Mus musculus: one gene and its partners. The protein of the gene in region 2 interacts with the protein of the main gene of each other region in a pairwise test. Links are inferred from orthologs where the notes say so. Each region holds a gene or a part of one and is shown on either strand. Other genes may lie near its edges. The genes, in order: Nab2, Tchp, Ndor1, Dydc1, Krt16, Nme7 and Cdr2.

The links.
Region 1: the proteins of Tchp (region 2) and Nab2 interact in binary tests that used the Homo sapiens proteins (3 or more experiments, as listed by UniProt). The two-hybrid records come from large-scale screens. The link is inferred for Mus musculus from reciprocal best matches to the Homo sapiens genes TCHP and NAB2.
Region 3: the proteins of Tchp (region 2) and Ndor1 interact in binary tests that used the Homo sapiens proteins (3 or more experiments, as listed by UniProt). The two-hybrid records come from large-scale screens. The link is inferred for Mus musculus from reciprocal best matches to the Homo sapiens genes TCHP and NDOR1.
Region 4: the proteins of Tchp (region 2) and Dydc1 interact in binary tests that used the Homo sapiens proteins (3 or more experiments, as listed by UniProt). The two-hybrid records come from large-scale screens. The link is inferred for Mus musculus from reciprocal best matches to the Homo sapiens genes TCHP and DYDC1.
Region 5: the proteins of Tchp (region 2) and Krt16 interact in binary tests that used the Homo sapiens proteins (3 or more experiments, as listed by UniProt). The link is inferred for Mus musculus from reciprocal best matches to the Homo sapiens genes TCHP and KRT16.
Region 6: the proteins of Tchp (region 2) and Nme7 interact in binary tests that used the Homo sapiens proteins (3 or more experiments, as listed by UniProt). The two-hybrid records come from large-scale screens. The link is inferred for Mus musculus from reciprocal best matches to the Homo sapiens genes TCHP and NME7.
Region 7: the proteins of Tchp (region 2) and Cdr2 interact in binary tests that used the Homo sapiens proteins (3 or more experiments, as listed by UniProt). The two-hybrid records come from large-scale screens. The link is inferred for Mus musculus from reciprocal best matches to the Homo sapiens genes TCHP and CDR2.

What each region holds. Positions count from the first base shown.
Region 1 is NC_000076.6:127,663,904-127,668,155, forward strand, and holds the start of Nab2 (NGFI-A-binding protein 2), read right to left. Parts: upstream 2,801-4,252; 5' UTR 2,556-2,800; coding exon 2,473-2,555; intron 1,236-2,472; coding exon 362-1,235; intron 1-361. UniProt on the Homo sapiens protein: Acts as a transcriptional repressor for zinc finger transcription factors EGR1 and EGR2. Isoform 2 lacks repression ability.
Region 2 is NC_000071.6:114,710,779-114,714,278, reverse strand, and holds part of Tchp (trichoplein keratin filament-binding protein), read right to left. Parts: intron 3,027-3,500; coding exon 2,970-3,026; intron 856-2,969; coding exon 787-855; intron 1-786. UniProt on the Homo sapiens protein: Tumor suppressor which has the ability to inhibit cell growth and be pro-apoptotic during cell stress. Inhibits cell growth in bladder and prostate cancer cells by a down-regulation of HSPB1 by inhibiting its phosphorylation.
Region 3 is NC_000068.7:25,245,415-25,248,914, forward strand, and holds part of Ndor1 (NADPH-dependent diflavin oxidoreductase 1), read right to left. Parts: coding exon 3,491-3,500; intron 3,333-3,490; coding exon 3,218-3,332; intron 3,072-3,217; coding exon 2,922-3,071; intron 2,827-2,921; coding exon 2,708-2,826; exon of another isoform or gene 2,641-2,707; coding exon 2,546-2,640; intron 2,441-2,545; coding exon 2,296-2,440; 3' UTR 1,392-2,295; coding exon of another isoform or gene 1,295-1,391; 3' UTR 1,182-1,294; coding exon of another isoform or gene 843-1,181; 3' UTR 821-842; coding exon of another isoform or gene 770-820; 3' UTR 736-769; coding exon of another isoform or gene 361-735; 3' UTR 1-360. UniProt on the Homo sapiens protein: NADPH-dependent reductase which is a central component of the cytosolic iron-sulfur (Fe-S) protein assembly (CIA) machinery.
Region 4 is NC_000080.6:41,086,411-41,089,910, forward strand, and holds part of Dydc1 (DPY30 domain-containing protein 1), read left to right. Parts: coding exon 1-3; intron 4-974; coding exon 975-1,079; intron 1,080-3,500. UniProt on the Homo sapiens protein: Functions as part of axonemal radial spoke complexes that play an important part in the motility of sperm and cilia. Plays a crucial role during acrosome biogenesis.
Region 5 is NC_000077.6:100,246,103-100,250,182, forward strand, and holds the start of Krt16 (keratin, type I cytoskeletal 16), read right to left. Parts: upstream 2,801-4,080; 5' UTR 2,789-2,800; coding exon 2,270-2,788; intron 1,838-2,269; coding exon 1,755-1,837; intron 1,617-1,754; coding exon 1,460-1,616; intron 1,374-1,459; coding exon 1,212-1,373; intron 1,126-1,211; coding exon 1,000-1,125; intron 729-999; coding exon 508-728; intron 417-507; coding exon of another isoform or gene 414-416; coding exon 367-413; intron 227-366; coding exon 132-226; 3' UTR 1-131. UniProt on the Homo sapiens protein: Epidermis-specific type I keratin that plays a key role in skin. Acts as a regulator of innate immunity in response to skin barrier breach: required for some inflammatory checkpoint for the skin barrier maintenance.
Region 6 is NC_000067.6:164,331,672-164,335,171, reverse strand, and holds part of Nme7 (nucleoside diphosphate kinase 7), read right to left. Parts: intron 2,561-3,500; coding exon 2,394-2,560; intron 1-2,393. UniProt on the Homo sapiens protein: Possesses an intrinsic kinase activity. Displays 3'-5' exonuclease activity with a preference for single-stranded DNA. Does not seem to have nucleoside diphosphate kinase activity.
Region 7 is NC_000073.6:120,968,813-120,972,312, forward strand, and holds part of Cdr2 (cerebellar degeneration-related protein 2), read right to left. Parts: intron 1,627-3,500; coding exon 1,514-1,626; intron 1-1,513.

The DNA of each region.
Region 1 (4,252 bases), on a different chromosome or scaffold from region 2:
TTGACTTTCCTACTGTTTTTTTTCCCCTTTACCACCACTGGGAGGTCCATCCAAAGACTGTCTGCTTTAAATAATACCCAGGAACTGCCTGTACTTAAAGACAGGGGTGGGGATATTGTCCCTATCAGGGCCTCCTGCACCTAGGATGTGAGCAGTGCGGGGCTCACTGCTATTATCTCAGCTTCCCTTTGGGTGACAAGAACGTAAAGCAGCAGCAGGGGTTGGGTATGTGTGAGTGTGGGGAAGGAGCTTGGGTGGTCGTGGGGACAGTCATACAGAGGTGGAAGACGGAAGAAGTCTCAGAGGCAAGTGAACTGAGCCCCAGGAGTGAAGGGCAGCCTTGAGGACCCGGGGTCCTCACCTCATGCAAGCTAAGCTGTTTGCCCTCCCGCCTTTTGGAGTCCAGGCGGCCGTAGATGACGCTGTACTTCCGGATCTCCTCTTCCTTCTGGGCGTCATGATCGTCCATCTCAAAGATGTGCCCCACGCTCCGCGCCAGCTTCTTATTCAGCTTCAACAGGGATGCGATCTCTCCAGTGTCACCCCTGGGGAAACTCCGGAAGATCCTCTCCACACTCTCCACCACCATTCGCACCATCTCTGGTTCCAGGCGGTCTGGACCACCCCCTGCACCACCAGCTGCCACCCCCCCAACCCCAGGCCCTTCAGAGACTCCTCCCCCTGCAGGTGGGGAGAAAGGGGGAGACCCGGCCTCCTCTTCTCCCCCTGCTCCAACATCAGATTCTGGAGTGCTCTGGCCTGGCCAGATCCGGGGATCCCCTGCCCCAGGTCCTCCAGGGAGTGGCGACAACTTCTCTCCAAGTTCGAGGGGACTCTTGGGGCTAAAGCTTCGAGCACTGCCCGCCTTTTCTCCTGGGCTGCCGTGCCCATTGCTCATGCTCCCTTTCCGGGTACCAGCTGTCTCAGAGATCTTGAAAAGTGGGATGCTGGAGACGGGCACAGCAGGCACTGGTTGGCTGAAGAGCCCTGGATTGGTGGCCCATTCTCTCAGAGCCTTCTGTAGACGTCGGACATGGAGTGGTTTGGTGGCCATGCCCACGAGTGCCATGATTTCCAGGAACTCCTCCTCGCCAGCCTCACACAGCTGCTGTACATCATCTCCTCCCTGCTGGATGAAGGTCTCGTAGTAAGAGAGGAGGTTGGCGCGTTGCAGGACCCGATACAGCTGTAGCTCACCCAGTGTCCGAGGCAGTGCCATGGCTGGGGCACTTGCCCTGAGGAGAAAGGGCAGGAGAGAGGCAGTGAGTATGAGTGCCCTGCTGGGGTACCAACCCACACTAACAACTGCCCTCTTTCCTGGACAGTGCCCTCCGATCCCCAGGAGCACAGAAGGCCGGTTGCCCGACCTAAGCTATCAGGAAAAACGCTTACCTCGTCTTTTACTTTGATCTTTCTGGTCTGGGCAGCACCATCTTGAGCCCTGAGACTTTTCATAACTTCCCTGAAATGGCTGGACCCACTTCCCTCCCAACTAAGTCCTTACCTCTTCCCCCTAAATACTCAGCAGCCTCAACATTACTTAATGTAACATCCCATATTAAAGTTAACTTAGAATACTAAGAGCTATTGCTGGCAGCTGTACTCCTTGGCCAGGTAGCTGAGAGGGAGGGGTGTGGCCTCTTCCTTGGCATTTAGGGAACCTGGTAGACCCTTGCTCCTGTTCTTCGCTTCCAAGGATTAAAGCACCCTTCCTAGACTCTGTCCCAACTTTCCAAAGGCTGCCCAGTTCCCTTCAGTTACCCCCTCTCCTTTGATTGATCCTTCCTACTATTCAGCAGGCCCCTCTCTTCTGGGAAAGGGGGAGGGAAGCCTTGATTGTTCTGCTCTGGGGCCCTTCTTCCCACACACTCCCACAGTAGCAGCGTCTGTGGGCGAAAACCGCCTGGGGGCTCCCGCCTACTCTCCTCTCGCTTGTTTTCCACCCTTATCTTCGACAAGGGAGTGCGGGAGAGGTTGAAGGTCTCTTGAGGAAGGGGCTGCACCCCTCCTCACCCTGTGAATGGTCATTTCACGGACAAGGGAGGCCTGAAGCACACCCCCTTCAGGCCCGCAGATGCTTAACTCAAAGGAACCACCTTCTCCCGGATGCCTGCTAATGACACACTGAGACAGCTAAGAGCCGCCACCCCTCACACTGTTGACAGATCAAGCTCTGGAGCTTCCCCTGGCTGGGGGGACATTCTTTGCAGGGGGCTCATGTGCCAGGTTATGCCCACTGAGTAAACCTGGAGTGGAAAACGAGGCAGTACTCTATCGTATCCAGGTTCATCGGGTCTTTGTTTGCTTCCAGGATCCCCTATTTCGAATACTCACCCCCTTTTCCATCAGTCTCCACCTCCCACCTCCGTCCCGCTTCCCCACGTCCTCTTTTCGACCTCCACCCTTTAGACCCCATTCCGGAGTCCAACTCCACCCATCTCCACTCCCTGCCACCTCCTTTTGCCCACTAACTTGAATCTGGGTTGCGGGGTCCGGCGTGTGTTATCCCCTCTGCCAGGTGGCTGTTCCGCTGTGGGAGAGGGAGCTCTGTGCATGGACGGCCAGAGATCACCAGTGCCTCCCCTCTCGGTGCCCGGCGCCTGCTGCGCGCTGCTCTTTGCCTGGCGCGCGCGGCCCGGGTCCACCGCTGTCCAGGCTCCGTCCCTCCCTCCACGTCTTCTCTCTCGGAGCCTCCGCGCCTCTGTCTGTGCCTCTGCCCCCACCTCCCCGGCTGCGCTTGCCGCCTCTCCGCGCCTCCTCCCCCGCAGGACGCACAGGGAGCGAGGCCCGGCGCTGCGCTGGCTGCCGGGCTGGCGGGAGGAGGGCGTGGGCAGAACCGGGGGCTGGGACCGGAGGCGGTGGGTGGGAGCCCAGGCCTGAGCCTTGGAGAGGCTGCTGTGGAGACTGAGAGGAGGAGACTTGGGGGAAGGGGGGGGGGGGGAGGTGTGGAGGCGGAGCGGGGACTCAGGAATCGGGCGCTGAGTTGGGGACCGAGGTGACCGAGGCCGAGCTGTGGAAGGGGGAGCTTGGGGACCCAACGGGCGGGGCAGGTCGCTCCTTGCCGCCCACGCCGGATGCACAGCCGGCCCTCTCTGCGCCCACGTACCCACGTGAGCGCCCCGCCGGCTACATTCCTACTCCCTGCACCACTCCTACTCCTGTGAGCCGAGAGCGCAGTTTCACAACCACGCACAAGTATACAAAGACACGCGCACGTACGTGCACACGCGTCCAAACAACGACGCGGACGCCCGTTGGCCGCACTCTGGCCGCGCCGAGCCGTTAGTTTGAATGTTAGAAGTGATGGGGGAAAAGTTAGCGAAGGGTCGGGGTGTGCTGTTCCTCCTGCTCGGCTCCCCTAGGATGTATCCTTAGGGTAAACCTGTTAGCGCGGGGCTGCGCAGGAATCCCTTCGGTATCTTAACACCGTTCTCTGGCCTAAAGGTTGTAATATGAAGAGGCGGCTCTCAAACCTTGGTCGTAAGTTATACTAGAATCTACTATTTACTTGAGCGTTGGTTAGGCACGTCGGGGTTGCTAGGTAGAGCCCGGATGGGTTTACCATGTTTTCGTGGCACCCTCTTTTCTGATGGCCAGGCCTTACTGCTTGGACGACTAGATAGCAAAGCCAGGAAAAGGCAGGTACCTTCTCTGAGGTCATGAGTTATTGAACCTCTCTGGACAGTGAAGTGGAAGCTGAGCAAAAGGCTAAGAGTAGTCTACGTGACTGTCCACCGTGGAGGACCGCCTTCAAGGAGCCCAACCCCCTCGGTTTCTTCTAGTCCCATCTGGTTCCCATTACACGCCCACGGCTAGGAGGGTTGGGGGGGGGGTATTGGGCACGCGGGGGTTGTGTAGGCCTTTGGGGAAAGGGAGGGTGGGGGTGGAAAGCGTGGCCGACTGGCCAGAGGAAACGTCCCTCTAGTTTGAAACCTCGGCTCCGCCCCTCTGCTCAGCACTTGTGAGTGGCTTGCCCCAGCAGGGCGTGGGTGGTGTGGGTCGGGGCGGGTTCTACATTCCAGATTCATTCCAGACTGACGAGGAGGGGGATCTCTTGGTTTCCCGAAGAGGGATGGGTACTTTAGGAGGAACGATTTCAATAGCTCAGGTTTTTGTCTTCCAAACATACTAGGGATTGTAGGAAGGTGCAGGGTCCTTCTCCCGACCCTTTGCTACTAAGGAGGGCGCGACTAGACGGCCTTTCCTTCAATGTGTGCGGCGCCCCTCCCCCACTCCCCCGTCCGGTTATTTT
Region 2 (3,500 bases):
TCTGATGCTCTCACCTAACCTCTCAGATACCAGCACATGCAGCACACACACACTCACACACACACACACACACACACACACGCTACACACATGTGCTACACACACACTCACACACATAAATAAAATAAAAAATAAAAACCTGCGGCTGGCTGAGAGACACTTCCATGGTTAAGAGCACTGACTGTGGCTGCTCTTCCAGAGGACCCAGGTTCAATTCCCAGGACCTACATGGCAGCTCGAAGCCGTCCATAACTTCAGCTCCAGAGGATTCAACACCCTCTTCTGGCCTCCAAAGGTACCAGGCATGCTTGAGGCACACACACATCCATGCAGGGAAAGCACCCATACACAGAAAAATACATTTTAAAAACTTTTTTTTTAATTTAAAAAAGCTGGCAAAAGAGTCCACCCTTGTAGCCTTAGTCCCAGGGAAGTGGAAAGTGAGGGGGTCCCTACGGGTCCTTGGAAGTCTACTTGGGAAAGCTACAGACTTCTGAAAGACCCTCTCTCAAAAAACGACAGCTGGCTCCTGAGAAACATCACCCCCACACATGCACACACCCGCATACACACCTACACATGTGAACCCACACACACGTGCACACACGTACATGTGAATGTGTGTGCACACACACAAGAACATGCATATGAGCATGCTCAAAGCAAACCTCAGCCTGCACATGCAGCAAGCAGCCAGGCAGGCACCTGCTGCTCATTTAGCCAAGAGCATGGAGACAGGACAGAGTCACAAGTGCCGACAGTGTGTGAGGGTCACACATTCCATACCTGTTTTTTTTCTTCTTTCTGTGTTGCCCAAGAATTTATCACGTGCTTCTTGTGAAGGTCCAACTCAAGCTGAGGGTGAGAAAGAAAATGTTACTTTGCCCGAGGGCTTGTGTGAGACTGATTGAGGTGACTTGCTGTGGTCAGTGCCACCTGACCATGACTCGATACCCCAACAAAAACAGCCTGATGAGGGCCACCGAGAGGGGTCAAGTGTAAAGCCGTGGTCTGCATACCTGAGGTCCATCCCTGGCACTGCCCATGTAAAGAGCAGGACGGGATGGCGTGTGTGTGGGCTCCTTGCACCTCTGTGGTGAGGTGGGAGGCAGAGACTAGAGGACTCTCTACAAGCCCAGAAATTTAAGGGTCAGCTAGCCCAGAGTTCAACTTAGCAGCAGAAAAGGACAGACTCTGCCTCTAAGGGAGGCTGGGGGACGGGAGGAGAAGTGACGCCCAACGGTTGATCACTGACTTCCACACAGGGGCTACAACACATCTGCACCCCTCACACACACAATCGTCAATAAAAATCAACGAGCTGGGCGGTGGTGGCACACGCCTTTAATCCCGTCACTTGGGAGGTAGAGGCAGGCGGATTTCTGAGTTCGAGGCTAGCCTGGTCCAGAGAGTGAGTTCCAGGACAGCCAGGGCTACACAGAGAAACCCTGACTCGAAAAACAAAAACAAAAAAAAAAACAAAACAAAACAAAAAAAAATCAACAACAAAATCCAATCTGAATGATCAGCAAATAGGAAACCAAAGGATCACGTGCTTCTAAGCCCTGTCTACCCCTGGTCACAAAGGGCCAATGCTCTCTCTCGGAGCCCAGGGGAGGGCAGCGAGCATTTCTCAAACAAAACTGCAAATTGAAAGGAGAGCCTGGGAGACGCTGGGTAAGCAGAGCCAGCCCTGAGCTTGGCTTGCCAAAACTTCCGGCCTGAACTCAGAGACCCAGCTGCCTCCGCCTCCCCAGTGCTGAGATGGGCAGGGGCAGGGGTAGGGGCAGGGGCAGGGGCAGGGGCAGGGGCAGGGGCGGAGACAGAGGAGGCAGAGGAGGCAGAGGAGGCAGAGAGGCAGAGAGGCAGAGGCAGGTGGATTTCTGTGAGTTCAAAGCCAGCCCAGTCTACATAGGGAGTTCCAGGACAGCCAGGACTACGTAATGAGACCCTGTTTCATAAAAAACAGTCAAAGAAACAACAACAAGAAAGAAAAAAGTGAACTACTCCATCTAACTTTCTTGTTTCCTTTTTTAAATATCTTTTACATTGTGTGTGTGTGTGTGTGTGTGTGTGTGTGTTGTATATGTGTAGGCCAGAAGACAACCTGTGGGAGTTGGTTCTGTCCTTTGCCGTGTTGGTGCTGGGATGAAATTCAGGCCACCAGGCTTGGCAGCAAACACCTTTACCTGCGGAGCCATCTCACCTGGAATCACTACTGGCAATTTCTAGACACAACGAGCTACGGAAAGTGACCATGTCAGACTTGTCCTAACGTTGCTGAAGTGAGTAGACAGTAGCAGTAACTGGCATAATGCCCTCCAGCCAACCTCTGTGCAGTGACAGGTGCCAACCAAGACAGGATGCAGATATGGCCCCTGTCTCCTCCACCCAGGAGCACCAGGCTTCACCTTAGGAACCCAACACACAGCACCAGCCTGCCTGGCTCACGCTGACCATGCTGCCAAGAGGAGCATCCCAACATACAGCAGTGATCTTGCACATTGCTAAAGTGGTCCAGAGCCTCTGGAGGAAGGCCAGGCAGTGCTGGTCCAGGTCTGTCTCCCATCTCCTCACCAGCTTTATCTCTTCAGGACTCCCTAGCCATGGGGCATCTTGGTCTCACCTGGCCCTTTATAGCTTCCTCGGTTCTGTCCTCGAGGCACAGGGCAGCATTTCCAATCATCTCCATCCAGAAGGCCCTTTCCTCACACCATATTATCCAACTGAAAGCAGCATCCTGAGCCCACTGCCCAGGTCTCTGCAGCCCACTGGGCAGAGAGCTCCTAAGCCACAGAACATACCCCCAAAGGCAGGTTGCCTGTCAGAGTTCGCTGCTCAGCCCTGTCTGGCCAGGTCTTCTGCCCTCTGTATCAGCCCAACACACATCCAGACCCAGAAACAAGGAACAAAATCTGAAACCGCGGTGGTGCCTACGCAGGCGAAGCAATGGGAGGCTTCGTTCTCACCTCTCGAAGTTTGGGGTTGTTCTTCTTCCAGTGTTCATATAAAAGTCGTTCAGCAATCTATCAAGAAAACACAGGAGACGTGAGGTCACTATTCACATTCATCCACACTTAGACAAGATACAACAGAAGTCAGCTTCTCTCTTCAGTGATGACACCCCCGTCTGCCGTTAAATCCTGCTGCCTTTGCACACCAGCTCTGGAGATGGGGCATCAGAGCCAATCGGAAGGGCATGGACAAATGCCTGTCTCAGTGGACCAAGAGTCAGCTAAGATCTGATGCTATGGCTGGGTCCCTTCTAGGGGCAGAAGTTTCCAAATACATACTAAGCTAAAACACACAGACTGCAACTAGTTACCATAGCCACCCAAAACATAAAATATAGCGTTCCCAGGTATTGGTGGGACCAGAGAACTGAAAAAAGTGAAGGTGAATCCCACACAGTGACTTATAAGCCGCATACCAAACACTCCCTATAAAGGTACATAAGAGTGGATGCTGGCTTCCTGTCTGCTTCCCCTTACTCGTGCTGG
Region 3 (3,500 bases), on a different chromosome or scaffold from region 2:
GAACAGATCTCAGGATAAACAGAATCACTGTTGGAATCACACATTTGTGTCCACTCTCACCAGCTGGACTACGAGCTGGCGGTATAGCCCAGCTTCTGCCTGTGGCCAGTGAGATGACCGCCCATGGCAAGCACATAGGGTTCTTTTCACAACTCTTTCTGCCAGGCCAAGCTCCTTCAGAGGCTGTCCTTGTGTCCTTGGCTTTAGCTAATATCTAGGCTGCAAGGGTGTGTAAGCACTCTGGCTGGCGTAGGCTCTTAGGCATGTATAGTCTTGGTATTGGTGATAACAAGTCTTTGCTGATTACCAGAATCCAAGCGTGCATGGACTTCAAAGCTTGGCCAGCATTCTGGGCTCTGCTTAGTGGGTGGAACGGTCTAGCAGCATGAAGAGCACCCCTAGTAAAAGGAGCGGCATGAAGATGACCACCAGCCCGAGCAGTTCAAGGACCAGTAGGCTCAGCAGTGACAAGCGGCGGGCACAGGGGCCACGTTCCCGTAGTGCCCACAACCAGGTGCCTAGGCTGGGAGGGCAGGGCAGGAAGGGGAGACAGCTTCGCCCTCCCACAGGCCCTGCCAGGAAGCGCAGCTGGTAGCGGTGCTCTAAGGGACCCCAGGGCCAAGGGCCAGGATGCAGGGCTGTGACGGATGCAGTCCGCATTGGGCGCTGGGGTCCATCAGCTCGAAGCAGTTCCTCCTGCAGCTGACAGATCTCCCACTCTAGCATAGGTGTCTTCTGACGACACAGTGGACAGCACACACGGCCCAGGTCAGCTCTGGGGGTCATGCCTAACAGCTGGTGTAGGCAGCCCACACACAGGCTGTGACCACAGTTTAGCAGGGTCAGGTGGTGCTCACTAGGCCCATAAGGCTCAGCACAGATGGGACATTCCTCCTCCTCCACAACCTGCCCCTCACCTTCCTGCTCTTCCACAGTTGACTCCAGGGCCCTGGCAGCGGATGGGTCTCTGGCCTCCAGTTCCGGTTTACTGTCTGGAGTTCTGGCACCCAGAGGGGCCCTGAGATCATCCTCTCCATCTGCTGGTAGCTGGCACAGTGGGTCCAAGAGCTCAGGACCCAGAGAAGCACCGGGTGAACTAGTAGACACAGAGCTGGTGTCATTAGGTCCCAGGTTACCACTAGAACAGAGGTCAGGATGCGTAGACGGAGACTCCAGGATGACTGCAGGGATTGTTGTAGATATGAAGGTGTGGCCCTCAGGAGCCAGGCAGAGCTTGGCCTCCACCCATCCACCTGAGCACTAACCTCTAGATAACCCTTTCGGCTTGCTGACCTCACTGGAAGTAAGCTTCACTTGGGTCCCCGCAGCATGTCAACTCTTGGTATCTGAGGCCTAAGAGTGGTGTTGGTCTGGTCCCTGTTTTCCACAAGCTGACAGACAGAACCGAGGTTCCTTAGCGCCCAGCTGCCCTTGGACCTGTCTGACTGCTCCAACAGGGTTTCCTTCCCAGCAGTGGAGGCCCTGCCCATGGGCGGGCCAACACAAATCACACCCCCTCCACCTGATCATTCTTTCAGTTCTTTGGAAAGAATAGTGCATGCTGGCTCTTGGCTGGGACTTCCAAATAAATAGCTCTCTAAGCCCTCTCTGCTTGGCCATGAGAGAAGGGTATATGAGCTTGGCTGAGTTGTGTGGCCATCAGAGAAGGGGACTAGCTTGGCTAAACTGTCAGTACAAGCCTGTGCTCATGCCCTGGAGGGCTCTTTGCCCACCACTAGCAGATGCAGATAATCCATGTCCCAACCACCACTCTCAAATCTAGAAGCAATAAAAGAGAAGTGAGCGGCTACCCAGGCAGTTAACTCATGTTTATGGACCTGCAGACAGACAGATTTGCCCATTCCCAATGCTCAGGAGACTTGGTCCCTGGTGGCTTTTCAACTGAGCTGAGCTGCACAGGTGTTATGGGACTAATGGGAATAGCACGGGGTCAGACGGGCAGTGCAGCCCGCACAGCTCTATGTCCTTTGGAGGGCTTAGCAGGCCCTTGGTGGTAGGGACTATAAATGCAGATTTGGGGCAGAATGAAGGGGTCTGAGAGAAAACCAGGAGTTCTAGCTGCACCGGGGCTGGGCCTACGTATGGGACACTGGGTTCCACTGAGTTTGGCTGTACGCAAGGACTGCCCTCCTGGTCAGCTGGACCAAAAAAGCGAAACTGTGGGTCTACCCAGTGTTCTGGGATTAGAAGGCAAGAGGTAACAATGGGCCTTCTAGACTCCAGCAGGCTACCCAATGCAGCTGTTAATGTGAGTGTGAGCTAGCAAGTGGCTCCTCAGGCCCAGGTTTCAGTCTGGAAGCGCAGTGTCTGCTGGAGCCTAGCAAGGTAGGCAGATGCATCTGCAGTGGAGAGTCGTCCTTCTTCTTGAAAAATGGACATAAGGGCTTCCGAAACATCCGTAGGCAAATATTTAGCATTGCTGGAAAGGCAGGCCTCAGAAAGCTCAGTGATCCCGATTCCCAACCCTTACTACTACCCTTCCCTAAAGGCTGGTCCACCCCCCGACATTCCCAAGTTTGCTCACCCTGCTAGGTAGAAGTAGGCACCTTGGCCATCCAGCAGCTCCCAGACAAGTGGCCCCAGCTCTCGAAGCCGGTGCTGCACATATACCTTCTGCTCCTGCAGGTGTCAGAGGCTAAGTTTCAGCCATCCCAACTCCTGTCCTATCTAACTTGAATATACTCACCTGCTCCCGGGAGAAGGCTGTAACCAGGGTCAGCCAGCCCTTCTGCTCTAGCTTCTGCCATTCAGTCTGCCAGTAGAAGTCCTGATCCCGCTGGCGGCAGCCAAAGAACAAGAAGTTTCCTGGGGTACATAGGGCGGTCCCCGTCTGGATGCAGAAATTCAGCTAGACCAGGCTCAGTGGTCAGGTCACACTGCTTTGGAGCTCCAGTACTCACCAGTTTGGCCATGAGCCACTCGTTCCTGAATGGCTGCTCGGAAGGGGGCCACACCAGTTCCAGCCCCCACCATGATAATGGGTGTGTCTGGTGTTTTTGGGAACACGAGGCTCCCAGGACGTACCCACAGAGGCACCCGGACAGGTCCTGCTGCAGAAGGGAAATGGCATGTAGGAGGTCAAAAGACAGTGCTAAGGTGCTAAGTGCTTGAGCTCCTGGGGTAGCAGGAACAGGGGAAGATGGGCACTTGAGGCTATACTCTCTCCCAACCCCGAGCCCCAGAACTATGGATTTACCTTGCCCAGGATTCAGGGATGCTAGCCAGGAGGAGCAGAGACCATGGCGGGGCTCCTTCAGACGAGTCTGGTACTTTACCACAGCCACAAGGATCTGTAGCCTCCTGGGATGAGCCTATGGACACAGTGATGGCACTGCCCTGCTAAAGCACTCCTGCCTACTACCAACCCCAGGAGGGACAGTCCCTGGTAGAGAGGCAGCCCCCATCTACACACGCCCTACCCAGTCCCAGTTTTTTCAGCCAGTCTTCAGTTTTACTCAGAGTCCCTCACCAGTAGGGAG
Region 4 (3,500 bases), on a different chromosome or scaffold from region 2:
GAGGTGAGAGGGGAGACCTACTGTGTGTCGTGGGACATGAACACATATCTTAGAACAGAATCTTACTTTTTGTATCAGTGGTGTCTTGGTTAGGGTTTTACTGTTGTGAACAGACACCATGACCAAGGCAACTATTATAAGGACAACATTTAATTGGGGCTGACTTACAGGTTCCAAGGTTCAGTCCATTAGCATCACGGTGGGTGTATGGCAGCATCCAGCCAGGCATGGTGCAGGAGGAGCTGAGAGTTCTATATCTTTATCTGAAAGCAGAATACTGGCTTCCAGGCAGTTAGAATGAAGGTCTCAAAGCCCATACCCACAGTGACACACCAAGTCCAACAAGGCTACACCTTCTAATAGTGCCTCTCCCCAGGTCAAGCATATACAAACCATCACAAGTGGCTAAAGTTTTAATAAGGGCACTGTCAATACCAGAATGGGCATGGTGGCATACATATGTGATCACAGTGCCTCAGGCTGGTAAGTTGTGATTCCTTCCAGGCATGCCTAAAGCTATATAGTGAGACCCTGCCTTAATAAAACAAAAGCAAAACCAAAAAACAAAAACAAACAAACAAACAAACAAAAAACCTATGGAAGTGACAGCCCAGATGGATATTTTGGTGATAAGGCACAGGTGTGCAGTGTCTTGAAACAAATTTCAAAGTGAATACAATTTGGACATTCTGTTTGTACTGGAATATTTTAAAGCTACAATGTCCTGTTATGTTGCCCATAGAATTGCTTACAAATTATGTGTATTAAAATTCCAAGTGGATTTAAAAATAGTTTTTAGTGCTTCATACTAGAATTCTCATACCATTAGCTGGCAGTAGTAGACGTGAATTCTACCAACTAAAAGTGATGAGTCTTAAGTGCTTAACTCAGAAATTTTATTTCAAAATTGAAAGAAAAGGGGCATGCTCATATTGAAGCCATGTGAAAGTAGAAACTGAATTTTGTGACTGTAGGAATTGGTGATGGACTCGGGTAAAACCCTAGCGGAGATCAGCGATCGGTACGGGGCGCCTAACTTGAGCCGGGTGGAAGAACTTGATGAGCCAATGTTATCTGATGTAAGTATCAAGATCCCAGGACAGATTGGTTTTTGTGTTGATAATGTCTAGTGTGTATGGGATTGGTTTGTAAATAATAGTTTCCTTTATGTTAAAAAGGCCAAAAGTGCAGGTGCTAATAATCAAAAAAAAATTTTTTTAAACCTTTATTTTATGTGTATGGATATTTTGCCAGTATGTCTCTATGTCTGTGTACCATACATCTGCAGTGCCAGTGGAGGCCAGAAGAGGGTGCCAGATCCCCTGGGAGAAGGTTCTGAGCTGTTCTATAGGTACTGGGATTCAAATCCAAGTCCTCTCCAACAGCCAGTGCTCTTAACTGCTGAGCCACTGCCCCAGCCCCGCTAACCAAATTCTTAACTGGTGTTCTGCCTGTGAAGGAGGCCCCACTGGCATAACTCTATTTACATGTATAGCTCTATATCTGTCTATGTTTCAATCAGTGGATAATAATCTGTATCTATATATTTTACAGTTGGAATTTGAAAGCATCAAAACTTCTTAGAAATACATGTGTAAGGGAGTGGGAGGGACTAGAATGTAAATAAATGAAAGAAATAATAATAATAATAATAATAATAATAATAATAATAATAATAAACAATAAAAACTACCAAGATCACAAAAAAGAAAAAAGAAATACATGTGCGCCGGGCGTGGTGGCACACGCCTTTAATCCCAGCACTGGGGAGGCAGAGGCAGGCACATTTCTGAGTTCGAGGCCAGCTTGGTCTACAAAGTGAGTGCCAGGACAGCCAGGGCTACACAGAGAAACTCTGTCTCGAAAAACCCAACCCCCCCCCCCAAAAAAAAGAAATACACGTGTGTAAAATAATTTTGTGAAATATGCAATCCTTAAATTCAATAGGGAAAGAACCGTTTTGGCTCTCTGGAACAAACTCTGTAAACACATACATAGTTTAGTGAGAACAAGTGTTTTTATAGTATATTATTGCACATGTGCATTTATCACGCATACTGTGATGTCCATGCCAGGCATTGTGCCAGACGTAGTGGGGAGTAAGGCAGCTTTTCACCTGCTCGAGTTTTCTGCTTAGAGGAGGAACGCGATCTGAACAGCACTAGGTGCTTATCAGGAGAATGACCAGGAAATCTACTATTTATACCCATGTGGTTTATGGCTGAAAGAAAGGTCTATGAATAACTGAATCAGATCATCAGGGGGAGTGTCTTGCCAGGAGCAAGAAGACACTTAGTTGTCAATTTGTGATACCTGGAATTGAATTTGAATCTCTCTCTCTCTCTCTCTCTCTCTCTCTCTCTCTCTCTCTCTCTCTCTTTCTTTCTTTCTTTCTTCTTGTTGTTGTTTTGAGACAGGATTTCTCTGTGTAGCCCTGGCTGTCCTGGAACTCATTCTATAGACCAGGCTGTCCTCGAACTCAGAAATACACCTGTCTCTGGCTCCCAAGTGCTGGGATTAAAGGCATGCACCACCACTGCCTGGCGAATTTGAATTTCTTCCACCAGATTAGCCGGTGGGGGCATTTTCTTGAATGCTAATTCATGTAGGAGAGCTACCGTGGGCTTGGGCTGAATAAGAAATTAGGAAAGTGAGGGAATCAGTTGGCAAGTCGTGGTCTTGTTAGGGTCTGAAAATTGCTGAAGGAAGACTCCAGATTCAAATAGTATGCAAAGACAAAGAGTGTTTATTCTGCAGAAATAACCAGTATGCATAGGGGTCAACCATTCACCAAAATGGCCAGTCCATAGGAGCTCCTGGCCCTTTTTAATGTAGGGCTAGAGGAATTTTCCAGAAGGATTAGGTAATTTCTAATGTGATTGGTAGGGCCAAAGTGGTGACATTAGTAGAATTTTGGTCGGCTGCTATGTTCTTCTATATTTGGTGAGACCTTAGAGAGTTGGTTAGGTAATCTAAGGTTTCATTGATGGGTGATGAGGATGCTCCATGGGTTGTTTTCTGATTGGCTTGTGCCAGGTGGTCTGTGGTCTGCATTTCTCTGTCATGAACGTTTAGCCACAGGATGAGATACCTAAACCATACAAGGCTGCCCAGCATAGATGGTCAACCTGAGATATTTCCCTGTTCTTGTGGTTATCTCCAGGCTGTCTTTGGATGGGGGAATTTTATGGAGCTGGTGACTTATAACCTAGTTCCTGAGACAGATAGATGTCTTTCCTTTTGAAGCCAGGCCTGGTCCTGAAATGGAGGTGACGCTGTTCTTTCAGTCTGGCCTGGTCTAGTCATCTATGGTTTTTGCTTCAGTTCTTGCCCCAGCTTCCCTCAGTGATGAGTTGTGACCTGGAAGTATAAGCAAGATGCTTCCTCCTCCTCCTTGCCACGTTGCTTTGGCTGTGGTGTTGGTCACAGCAACAGAAAGCAAGCAAGCTAGAACAGGCACGTCTTGTTACTTCATTCTGTGGGTACTGAGAGGGTGAGAC
Region 5 (4,080 bases), on a different chromosome or scaffold from region 2:
AAAAAGCTTTATTAGCCTACCACCATGAGAGGGTAGGGGAGACAGATGGGGAATGCGCAAAGAAAACAGGGTCCTGCCCCAAGCCCTCAGCTTGAGAGGCAGTTGTGGGTGAGGAGGCTCTAGGCAAAACATTAGTCCCTGGAACTCTGACTTTGGCTCTGGCTGAAGCTGGTTGAACCTTGCTCCTTGAGGATGGACCGGGGCTGGCGGGAGGATGAGGAGAAGACTGCAAAAGAAAAAGAAAAAGGTAAGGTGGATTCTGGGAGCTAAGCAAGCTTCCAAGAAGGGAAAGGGAGTCCTAGGACTCTTAAGGAAGGCCTTAGCCCTGACTCTGCAGAGTCAAGCTGTTGGTCTCAGGAGCCTTACCTTCTCGAGAAGAATAGGACTGTCCAGAGGAGTGCTGTGAGGAGGAGCTGCTGGGATGAGGGAAGAAGAAACAGCAGCATTAGATGTGCAGGGAGCAGCAGAAGCAGAGGTACTGTGAGCAAGGACTCAGGGTCAACTCACTGGATATTCTCGCCATCCAGCAGACGGCGGTAGGTGGCGATCTCCTGCTCCAGCCTTGTCTTCACATCCAACAAGATGTTGTACTCCTGGCTCTGCTGCTCCATCTCGCAGCGAAGCTGAGCCAGCTGCTCCTCCACACTGCTGATCAAACCCTGGATCTGGGACAGCTGCATACAGTATCTGCCTTTGGTCTCTTCTAGGCTGTTCTCCAAGGATGCTTTCTGTGAGGGAAGAAAACAGGAATGAAGATCAATGGTGATGCTCACCTCTGTCTCTGCTGAAACCCTGGGCACATTATTGAGATAGGTACATAGATCTTGACCCCAGCTGGAGCAGTATTTAGAAGAGACATATTGGAAAAAATGTTTCCCAAACATTCAGGCTTTAATTTCTCAATCTCTATAATGGATACCATGGCGCTTCCAGTCTCATTCCCTGGTGGCTCCTGAGGGATGGGGACTACTGGACTGCACTAGGGCCCCTTCTTCATACCATGCTGAGCTGGGACTGCAGTTCAATCTCCAGGCCCTGGAACACCCTGCGGAGCTCAGCCACCTCGCTGCGGTTGCTCTGGATTAGATCACTGTTAGAGGCCACCTCTTTGTTCAGCTCCTCAGTCTGAGACAGAAGAGAGGGAAAGGTGTGAGACTCTCCAAAGCCTACTTGGCCAAGAGTCATGGAGTAGGGAGGAAGCGGGCCCCCACCTTTCTCAGGAACCAGGCCTCCACATCTCTGCGGTTCTTCTCTGCCATCTGCTCATACTGGTCCCTCATCTCATTCAGAATGCGGCTGAGGTCCACACCGGGGGCTGCGTCCATCTCCACATTGACGTCCCCACCAGTCTGACCCCTCAAGGCAAGCATCTCCTAGGAAAGATCACAAGAGCATGGTCACATCTCCTGGGAAACTCACCACACCAGCCCTCCATCCCCAAACCCAGCAGGAGCCACACCTCCTCATGGTTCTTCTTCAGGAAGGCCAGCTCTTCTCTGAGGTTTTCAATCTGCATTTCCAGGTCAGCTCTGGACAGGGTCAGCTCATCTAGCACCTTGCGCAGGCCATTGATGTCACCCTCCACGGACTGCCGCAAGAACAGCTCATTCTCGTACCTGGAAGGAGAGAAGTCAAAGCTGAAGATGGACCTACTGTGTCCCTGGCCTCTGCCCTCTGCCCTCTGCCCTCTGCCCTCTGCCCTCTGCCCTCTGCCCTCTGCCCTCTGCCCTCTGCCCAGCATTTTGGCTGCTCACTTGGTCCTGAAGTCATCAGCTGCCAGCCTGGCATTGTCAATCTGCAAAGTGAACTGTGCATTCTCCTGGGTGGCAATAATGATCTAGAGAGAAAATGAAAAGATGCGAAGTCAGATCACCCAGAGACCCTACGACTCAAGGACAGAGAAGAGCAAAAGGAGCCACCCCAAGCCCAGCAGGCCAGCTCCTAAAGCTTCCAACAGCTGATTACATACTTCTCTACACAGCTCAAGTTATATGCACGTGCACTCATGTCTACCATCACCCCTATCCTGGGCACAGAGTTAAGGAGCTAAGCTTGCAGCATAAAGTATCCTCCAGGAGATTAAGAGTCAGGGTCCCAGGTCCACCTGAGGCATGGATGTTCTTAAAGGACCCTCAGCCCCTGCTCTGGATAAGTATGACCATTAACCTCCAAAGGTCTTTAGTCTTCTTGCCTATGTATTAGCCTCTCTAAAACTGTCTTTGCTAAAGGCCACTGTAGTTCTAACCTCTCATCCACCAGAGCCACCCACCTTGCTCTTCAGGTCCTCAATGGTCTTGAAGTAGGGGCTGTAGTCTTTGATCTCAGTGGGCCGCTGCCTCTGGTACCAGTCCCGGATCTTCACCTCCAGGTCTCTGTTGGCCTCTTCCAGGGCACGCACCTTGTCCAGGTAGGTGGCCAGGCGGTCATTGAGGTTCTGCATGGTCACTTTCTCACTGCCCACCAGGAGCCCATCACCAATACCACCGCCAAGACCACCACCAAGACCAGCACCAAAACCACCACCAAATCCATCAAATCGACCACCAAATCCACTACCAAGTCCTCCACCAAAACTGCTGCTGCTGAAGCTCCCACCATAGCCACCTCCAATCCCACAGACTCCCCCAGAGGAGAAGCGAGAGGAGGTAACTGACATGCCCCCGCAGGTGCTGGGAGCCCGGCAGGATCCTCCAGCCAGGATGGAGGACATGCGGCTAGAGCCACCACCGATGCCACAGGAGCCCTTCATGGAGCTGGAGGAGGTGAACTGGCGGCTGCAGGTGGCCATGCTGAGGAACTGGAGAGTGTGGGCAAGTGAGCAGGGAGAAGAGAGAACTGCTCAGTGGAGGCTGCAGATGCTGAGGGTGCCTCAGACTCCAGGTTCTTTTATATGCACCAGGGGAAGGCGGGACCTCCAACTGCTGACTCCAGTTCCCCTGGGGATTTCCTCAGTCAGTCCTGTCTAACACCCTATTCTGGGTTGTTCAGCCCAGGGTGGACTCTCTCTCTTCCATTGCTGGCTCAGAGTTCCTGCCCAGATCTGTGGGTGTGGGGCCAAGAGAAAAACACACAAATTCAAGTCACTACTGACTCACGTTGTGTAGTCAGAAATGGGCTTCTGTTCCAGGAGCCTGAGGGGAGAGCAACAAGGAGCCCTAGGTGCAGGCAACCTCTGGCAGGCGCGTCCTCAGGCTGTGAGTCAACCAGTCCCTGCCCCACAGTGAGAACCTTTGGTGGCTAGAGTCTCACTGATGTCATCCCAAAGTTGGATACTGTCGTATGAATCCTACAAGGCACGTGGTAGACCTAGGTTGTTCAACAGGGATCCTGAAGTCTTTCACCTCCCCTCTCTGTGCCTGCTCTCCCTCCACAGGGACAAGTCTGGGCTGGGTAGCTGCAGTCCTTTCTAGTTCTAAAAAATCAGAGGTTTCCATTCCCATAGGATCTAGTTTGCATTTGGAAGCTGCCTTTGAGACACCAGGATGTCCAGAGTGGTGTCCACCATAGCATCCACACACTATGCTGCCACAGACCCACTGCCTCTCACTCACTGCCCAGTACAGAGGACCTTGTCATCCTTCTGGGCCTCAGTTCTTTTAGGACACATACAAGTCACAAAGAAGCATGCCTGCAGGACCCTTTCCCTGTGGTCAGCCTCTCCATCCTCCCTCTGCAACCTTGCTGCTTTTCGATCCAACCTTTACATTCTGACTCCTAACGTAAAACCCCTGCACTAAGAGAATGCCCAGCCACAGCTCCTCCATGCCACCTCCTGCCCTCACCCACTCAGGGACACCCCCTTGCTCTGCTGTGGATTCAGTAGAAGGGAATTCTATCTTGCTTCTAATACTGTCTGTCTGTCAACAGCCCTACCCCCACTCTGCCCCTTCATGGTCTCAGAGTTCCCATGTGGAAACCATCTTGCCCAGGAACTGCTCAAGCTGGGCGTGGTATCTTTGTTCGCCCAGTGTGCACAGGGCTTTGCACTGGTAAGGAATACCTGTCATGCTTGCTACACACTTCTCAGAAGCAGGCCCATGGTGGGTGTTGTTCCCAACACCAATCTACAGGTGACAGAGG
Region 6 (3,500 bases), on a different chromosome or scaffold from region 2:
AGAGAATCATTATTAAGTCCATTTTTGGTTTTGGTTTTTGGTTTTTCTTTAAAGCTTGCTTTTTAGCTGCATCTCCAATTGGTTCTGTTTCTTTCTAAACCAAAACTAAAGAAAATCAGGGTGGCAAGCAGTAAGGAAAGAATAATAAAAAGGTACATGTGGGGGTATCTGCATGTGTGCGAGAGAGTGTGCAGTGTGTGTGTGTGTGTGTGTGTGTGTGTGTGTGTGTGTGTGTGTGTGGTGCAGCTACTGGGAGGTCTTTAGGTCACAGCTTAGAAGGGCTGTTAGGACTGCAGACCCTTTTGTGCCCTGAGGTAAACAGCTTCCTCTACCACTCAATATCCTTCATAATGTGTTCTACTGCAGGGACCCAAAGCATTGAGCCAAAAAAGTCACGGAATGAAGGCTGCAAAACTCGGAGGTGAAATTAACCTTGCTCTTGCAATGCGTAAAGAGATTTGCTCAGGGATGCAGAAGACACGGAAATGAGTAAGACAGCAAGAGAAGAATCGTCCCCAGGTCCTATCCAGTCCCGAATTTCTGGGTTTTGGTATTTAAATTTATCTTAGTGGTTGCGCAGAGCAATGAGCTTCAGTGTTCCATTTTCATAATGTACCTCCTTGACCTTCACTCACAGACCGAGCTTACCCAGTCCCTTCCTCTGTCCCCTTTCAGATGAGGCTTCTGTCCCACCCTGCCCCAGGTCCTCCTGCAGGGATCTGCCCCAGTGGAGCAGTGCACTGCCCACTCCGTCCCACTGGGTTGTCCTTTTTGTTTGCCCACACATTATAGTTGACATAATTGTCTTTTAAAAATTTATTTTTAGCTAATATATAAAATAATGTGATTCATGGTGATATTTTTGTTATAGTCTGCTATTTTTCACACCCCACCGCCCTCCCTAATCCTGACTCACTTCTTGTTAGTCCCTTTCCCTTCACCCAGTAATCTGTTAGCTTTTATGACGTGTATATTTTATTACAATTTCTCACTCCCCAACTCCCCACTCTCTTTAAACTTCTTCCCTCCATGGTCCCCTTTCTATACTCTATCTATCTATCTATCTATCTATCTATCCATCCATCCATCAATCCACCCACCCACCTATCCATCTATCTATATTCCACATATTTAAAAAAAAAACCCACTTGATATCTTTCAGTAATCTGGCTTCTTTCACTTAATGTAATGATCTCCAGGTCTGTCCACTTCCTTGCAGATGTTAGAATTTCACTCTCTATAGCTGAATAAAATTCCCTGGAGCAAGCTACTTCTTGCTTTGTGATTTCTGATGTTCTGATCGCTCTCTCCTTGGGGCAGGGTCTATTCTCTGTTACCTTGCCTATCTCTTCTGTTAAATTGCCCTGAGGCAGCTTCTCATCATCATCTCACCCAAAGTTTCTAGAACTTCCATTCTTAACTTGAACTGTCTTTGATCTTTGTTATTTGGTTTTTTTGTTTTTTTGTTTTTTTGTCTTTTTTGTTTTTTTTGTTTTTTTGTTTTTTTTTTTTGAGACAGGGTCACATGTAACCCAAGCTGGCCCTTGACTCCCTCTGTAAACTAATATGATCTTGAACTTCTGATCTTTCTACCTCCACTTCCCACATGCTGGCATGACAGAAACGTGCCACCACCTCCAGTTTTACACGGGGCTAGGTCTCAGGCCTTTGGGCTTCATCTTTGCTAGACAAGCACTGCCCCAACTGAGCTGCTTCCTGGCATGCACTGCTGCATTTCTATTAATCACGTACACTCCTTACTTCTTCTGCATATCTACTGTTACCATAATAATTCAGATCATTGTTGTAGTAATTAAACTTTTATAAGTTTTAGCCCCCAACTTACACAAGCAGGATAGCAAATAGTTGTTCTAACTTAAGACAGGATTTCCCACCTTTGGATCTTTCTCTATACTCACTCCTTTGATTAGCATTTCTCCCCAGTTCATCTAATTGGGGTAATAATTTAATTCAGTTTTATCAAGACAGAACAAACCCACAAAGCCTTCAGTTTTGCAAGAACTAACTTCACCGTCTCCCGGGTTACCGTGATTCGTACCAGCATCATGCTTATGCTTAGGAAGAAAACCTTATGCTCAAATAGTCTTAGGTTTTAGTGACAAATATAAAAAGCAGATAGAATGTGTAAGAGCTTTATCTCTGCCACCCACCCATCCAAACAGTCACCTCCTAAGACTACAGATATTGCTTCAATATTCTAATTAGGAACCAATCCCTGAATCAGTACCAAAATATTTTTAATGTTATAAAATTATATTAGGTCGCTGGAAAAACTATGTTGTGAAAACATGACCGAGGAGAGGAAATCAGAAGTTAGTGGCCAAAGTCACAGGCAAGGTTTCAATGGAAAAAGATGGCCCGGCTGTTCTTACTTCTCTTTCCTGCTGCCCAGCTGGCGGGCTGTGTATTGGTCCCCATAGTCAATCAACACCAGCTGTCGAGAAAACACATTGACTTTGTTGCCTATAAATAGATCTTCCAGGCGCAGGTCCTCATACTTGGTCCGCTTTAAGAAGGTGCGACGATTCTTTACATCATGCTAGAAACAGACACAGTAAGAATACTTATGAAGAACGTACGCCTTACAGAGAAAAGTCTCCAATTGATTTTACAAAAGACAGCTATATCCTATTACTTTATAACTACGTATATAAATTATATTTTATACTGTGAAGCTTTATTTCCAATCCAATCTAGTGATAAAAGTTTGTAATTAAAATATATATTTTAGAATATCCTAAATAGACCAAGTTATTTCAGTAACTCACCAGCTATGAGTGACAGAGACAGATTCTCATATTTCTTTTTATGTACACATCCCAATCACTAAAAAAAATTGTATTTCCTTTAAGAGATGTGTATTCATGTGTGTCTCCCTTTCTGTGGGTAGGTACATGTGAGTGAAGGTGCAGAAGTCACTGTTGGCTTGCCAGCAGCTGGAGTTACAGTTGCTGTGAGCGGCTCGGTGTAGGTGCCGGGAACCAAACTTGGGACCTACAAGGGCAGCTAGCACCCTTAACTGAGCCTTCTCTCTAGGCTCCAACCCCAACTGAGCTGACTTTTTAAAGTGATTGCCAATGAAGTGATGCAAAGAAAGGGACCCTCTTAGAGCCTCTTTAATTTGACATTTTATACAGATACCAACTTTTAACCGTAATATTTATGACTATGATAACCATTTATCTGTAACTACTTATCAAATATTGATTAATCCCAAAAAACAGTTGTCCTACTTCATTTTGGGGTCTCTCTATATATCTACTTCTATATATGTGTGTTATATGCAAGTGTGCATCCCTACAAACATACATGATATAGGAGGTTGCCTGATGTCTTCTTCAGTCATTTCTCACATTATTGTCTTAACACAGGCTCTCTCACTGAACCTGAAGTTTGCTTTAAGTTGGGTCAGCTGGCCAGAGAGCTCCAGGGAGCTCCTGCCTCTGTTACTCAGGATTGGAGTTCTCACAGGGAACAAG
Region 7 (3,500 bases), on a different chromosome or scaffold from region 2:
CGCCCCCGTGTTCTTCATAGTAAGTCTTAGAGACTTCCTCCTCCTGTTCTCACCAGCTGACCAGTATCCCTCATCCCCGATCAGTATTTTGTTCAACAATGGTTTCAACTCATTTTAGATCTCTCTGGGAGATGGGGTAAATGCTGACTTTTTGGTTCTTAATCATAACTGTTTTTCTTTCTCTATCTTTTTCAATTTTCAAGACAGGGTTTCTCTATGTAGCCCTGGGTGTCCTGGAACTTACTCTGTGGATCAGGCTGGCCTCAAACTCACAGGCCCACCTGCTTCAGTTTGGGTGCTGACGATTAAAGGTACGCATTACCACACCTGCCTTATTGTTTTTGTAAATTAGAAAACAACAACACTCCCACTCCATGTTTTAATTACTTGTCTAGTGAGGAAAACTGTCAATAAAATTTTGAAAAGTTTAGGACCCCGGAGACTTAGGGACAGAGCGTGTATTCAGCACTCGAAATCCACAGAAGCAAATGAAACCGAAGTAAAAGTTAGGTTAAAATTTGCACAAGTCACTACACTCATGTGAAGTTCAAACAGAGGCTAATCCAGGGTGTCTGGGTGGGGTGCTGGTTACTGGGGTAGTGAGTGAATGACTGATAATGTTTTCACTCCTTATCTGAGTGTAGGCTGCACCGGTATGTTTACTTCACAAAAATTTGTAAAGGCTGAGGCAGGAGACTGAGTCTCAAACCGACCCAGATTGCAGAACAACACTTCCTGTCTCAAATAAATAACAAGAATTTGACTAATTCTTTAAGTTTAAGCACAGGTCGTTAAAATAAATTATAAAATCAAATACTGCATCAAAACAAACCTTCCTACCTAACTCTAAATATGGAATGGTGTTTAGTTGGAAGGAGGGAGGTGCCACCAAAGAAGAGTATGCAGGGAATGTCAATAGTCTGGGCAGTTCTCTCCCCAAACTGGGGGGTGGCGGTGGGGGGGCTGGGCTGCACAGTCCTGTTCTGCATGTGCTTTCCGCATGTGTTTCTGCATGCACTTTCTGCATGTGCTTTCCCGCATGTGTTTCCCGCATGTCTTTCCGCATGTGCTTTCCCGCATGTGTTTCAGCATGTGCATGCTTTCCACATGTGTTTCTGCACGTGCTTTCTGCATGTGCATGCTTTCTGCATGTGTTTCTGCATGTGCGTGCTTTCCTGTATACCTTCCATGTTGCATAACTAATTTTATTACTAAAAGAAAAAGAAACTTAAAAAACTAAGTACAACTTCATAGCATTTGCTTTACACACTGGCAAATACTAGATTGTTTACTTTTACACACTTTACCAAGGTTGAAGAGAAAACTATTTTTAATCAGAGCATACTTACCTACTAGGCACATCTAAAGAAAGTGTCTTTGGTGGTTCAATTTCTCAAAAAAGACTACTTCCAAGTTGAATACTATTTCTAGCTGCAAGTGCTATTTTAGAGGTCGATGACAACAGCAGAGAGCCACACATCAGAGGATGTACCTCTCCCACTGAATAAATTACCTCGATTTCCTGTAACTGCTCCTGATTGGTTGTGTACATCTGCTGAAGAGAATCTTCCAACTCTGTGTTCCGATCCAGTAGCGTCTTTCCAAGTTCAGCAGCAAGCTGGAGATCTGGCACAACAAACAACTCTTAGGACGCAGCAAGTCCAATGAGCTCACTTCAATTTTTATATAACTCAGTTCTTAAAGTAAATGAAGCAAGCCCCACACATGCAAGTCAGGTCCCAGTAGAACGCAGAATGACCTAAAAGAAATCCGAGTCCTACTTAAAATTCAGTTGACCTGGGGCCTGCTAGCAGGTGAAGGACTCTCTCATGCACCCTGTCAGACATAAAAGACAGTAGTCTATTTCATAGAGATGTGGGCATTATTTCAGAAATGACCATTCAGTCTTACAATTCCAAATAGTCTTTTGGTAAAAGACTTATTCAAATCCTGACATTGTGCTTTTGAGATGAATCCTTGAGCCAAAGAGATAGGCCTCTTAGCAGCCTCCAAAATTTCTAGCAAGCTACTGTGAACACAACTGGCAAAGCAAAGTTTGTTGTCTGGACTCCTTTAAATTGTTTCCTTTGAATTTGTGTGTGTGTGTGTGTGTGTGTGTGTGTGTGTGTGTGTGTGTCTATGAGAGTTTATGTACCGCTGAAGGTCAGAAGCAACACTGGACCCCATGGAACTGGGGTGACATGTGGTTGTGACCTATTGATGTGAGTGCTAAGAACCTACTCCAGATCCTCCACAAAAGCAGGCCATGCTCTTAATGACTGAGCTCTCTCTCCAACCCCCTATATCCTAGACTCTCAGGGCAGCTAAACATTAATGCCAGTGGTGAGATACTTGTTTCACACACAAGTCTGTCTCTCCCAACCCCAATTCCTATCACATCTTTTTTGTTCTTCTTCTTTTTTTTTTTTTTCCGTTTTGTTTAGTTTTTTGTTTTTTTAAGGCAAGGTTTCTCTGTGAGGCCTGACTGTCCTGGAACTCACTTTGTAGACAAGGCTGGCCTCGATCTGCCTGTCTCTGCCTCCTGAGTGCTAGGATTAAAGGCATGTACCACTGCCACACAGCCCTATCACAGCTTTTAAGCAAAGCAGCAATATGGTTTTGTTTCATACTTCCCTTAAACATGGGGCCAGGCGCTATTGTATTCCAGCCCTGCTCCTCTTGCCCCCACTGTCCTGGGAAGTCACAGCAATTCTCCTTCACCTTCCCACATGCTATGATTACAAGTAGGAGTCACCGCATCTGGCTTCTCGGTTTTAAAGCTTATTTATCAATTACCTTCTTAGACATATGTGCAAGCAAGACAGGTTTTGTTATATTACAATCCCAGGAATAGAAACTTAGTAATAACAGAAAAAGAAACACAAAACAATAATAGTGGCAATGTAAACACCCTGACAGGATAGATATCTCAAGAGACACCTGTGCCCTGTCCCCCAAATAATTAAAATCTCCCCCAGGAGCCCCCTACCAGAGGAAAGGCTGTGTTCCATACAGTTCTGACTGACAACTTATCAGCCCACCCAATAGGACAGACCAGAGCTGAAACAACATAGGCAGGACCTCACCTTGATCAGCACTGCTTAGTTATATAAACCTCCTGTTCTCTAGTCACCTACACCTCATGTTAGTAATCCCTTAAATGGACATGGGGATGTAGGCCTCTCATATTTGTTCCTCTTCCCAGGATAGCCATGTTAAATAAATCTTTTGTTTTTCACTATCATCTGTCTCTCTCTTTCTTTCTTTCATTTATGTTTTCTTTTTGGTTTTTTGAGGCAGGGTTTCTCTGTATAGCCCTGTCTTGGAATTTACTCTGAAGACCAGGCTGGCCCCGAACGCAGAAATCCGCCTGCCTCTGCCTCCCAATCATCTGTCTCTTTAATGGTGTACTGAAGATAGGTGACTGAGCTTAGCTTGCTGGGGTTGCCAGAGGACAAGGCTTTTACTTTAAAAATCCCAGCAATTATGGTGACACAGGT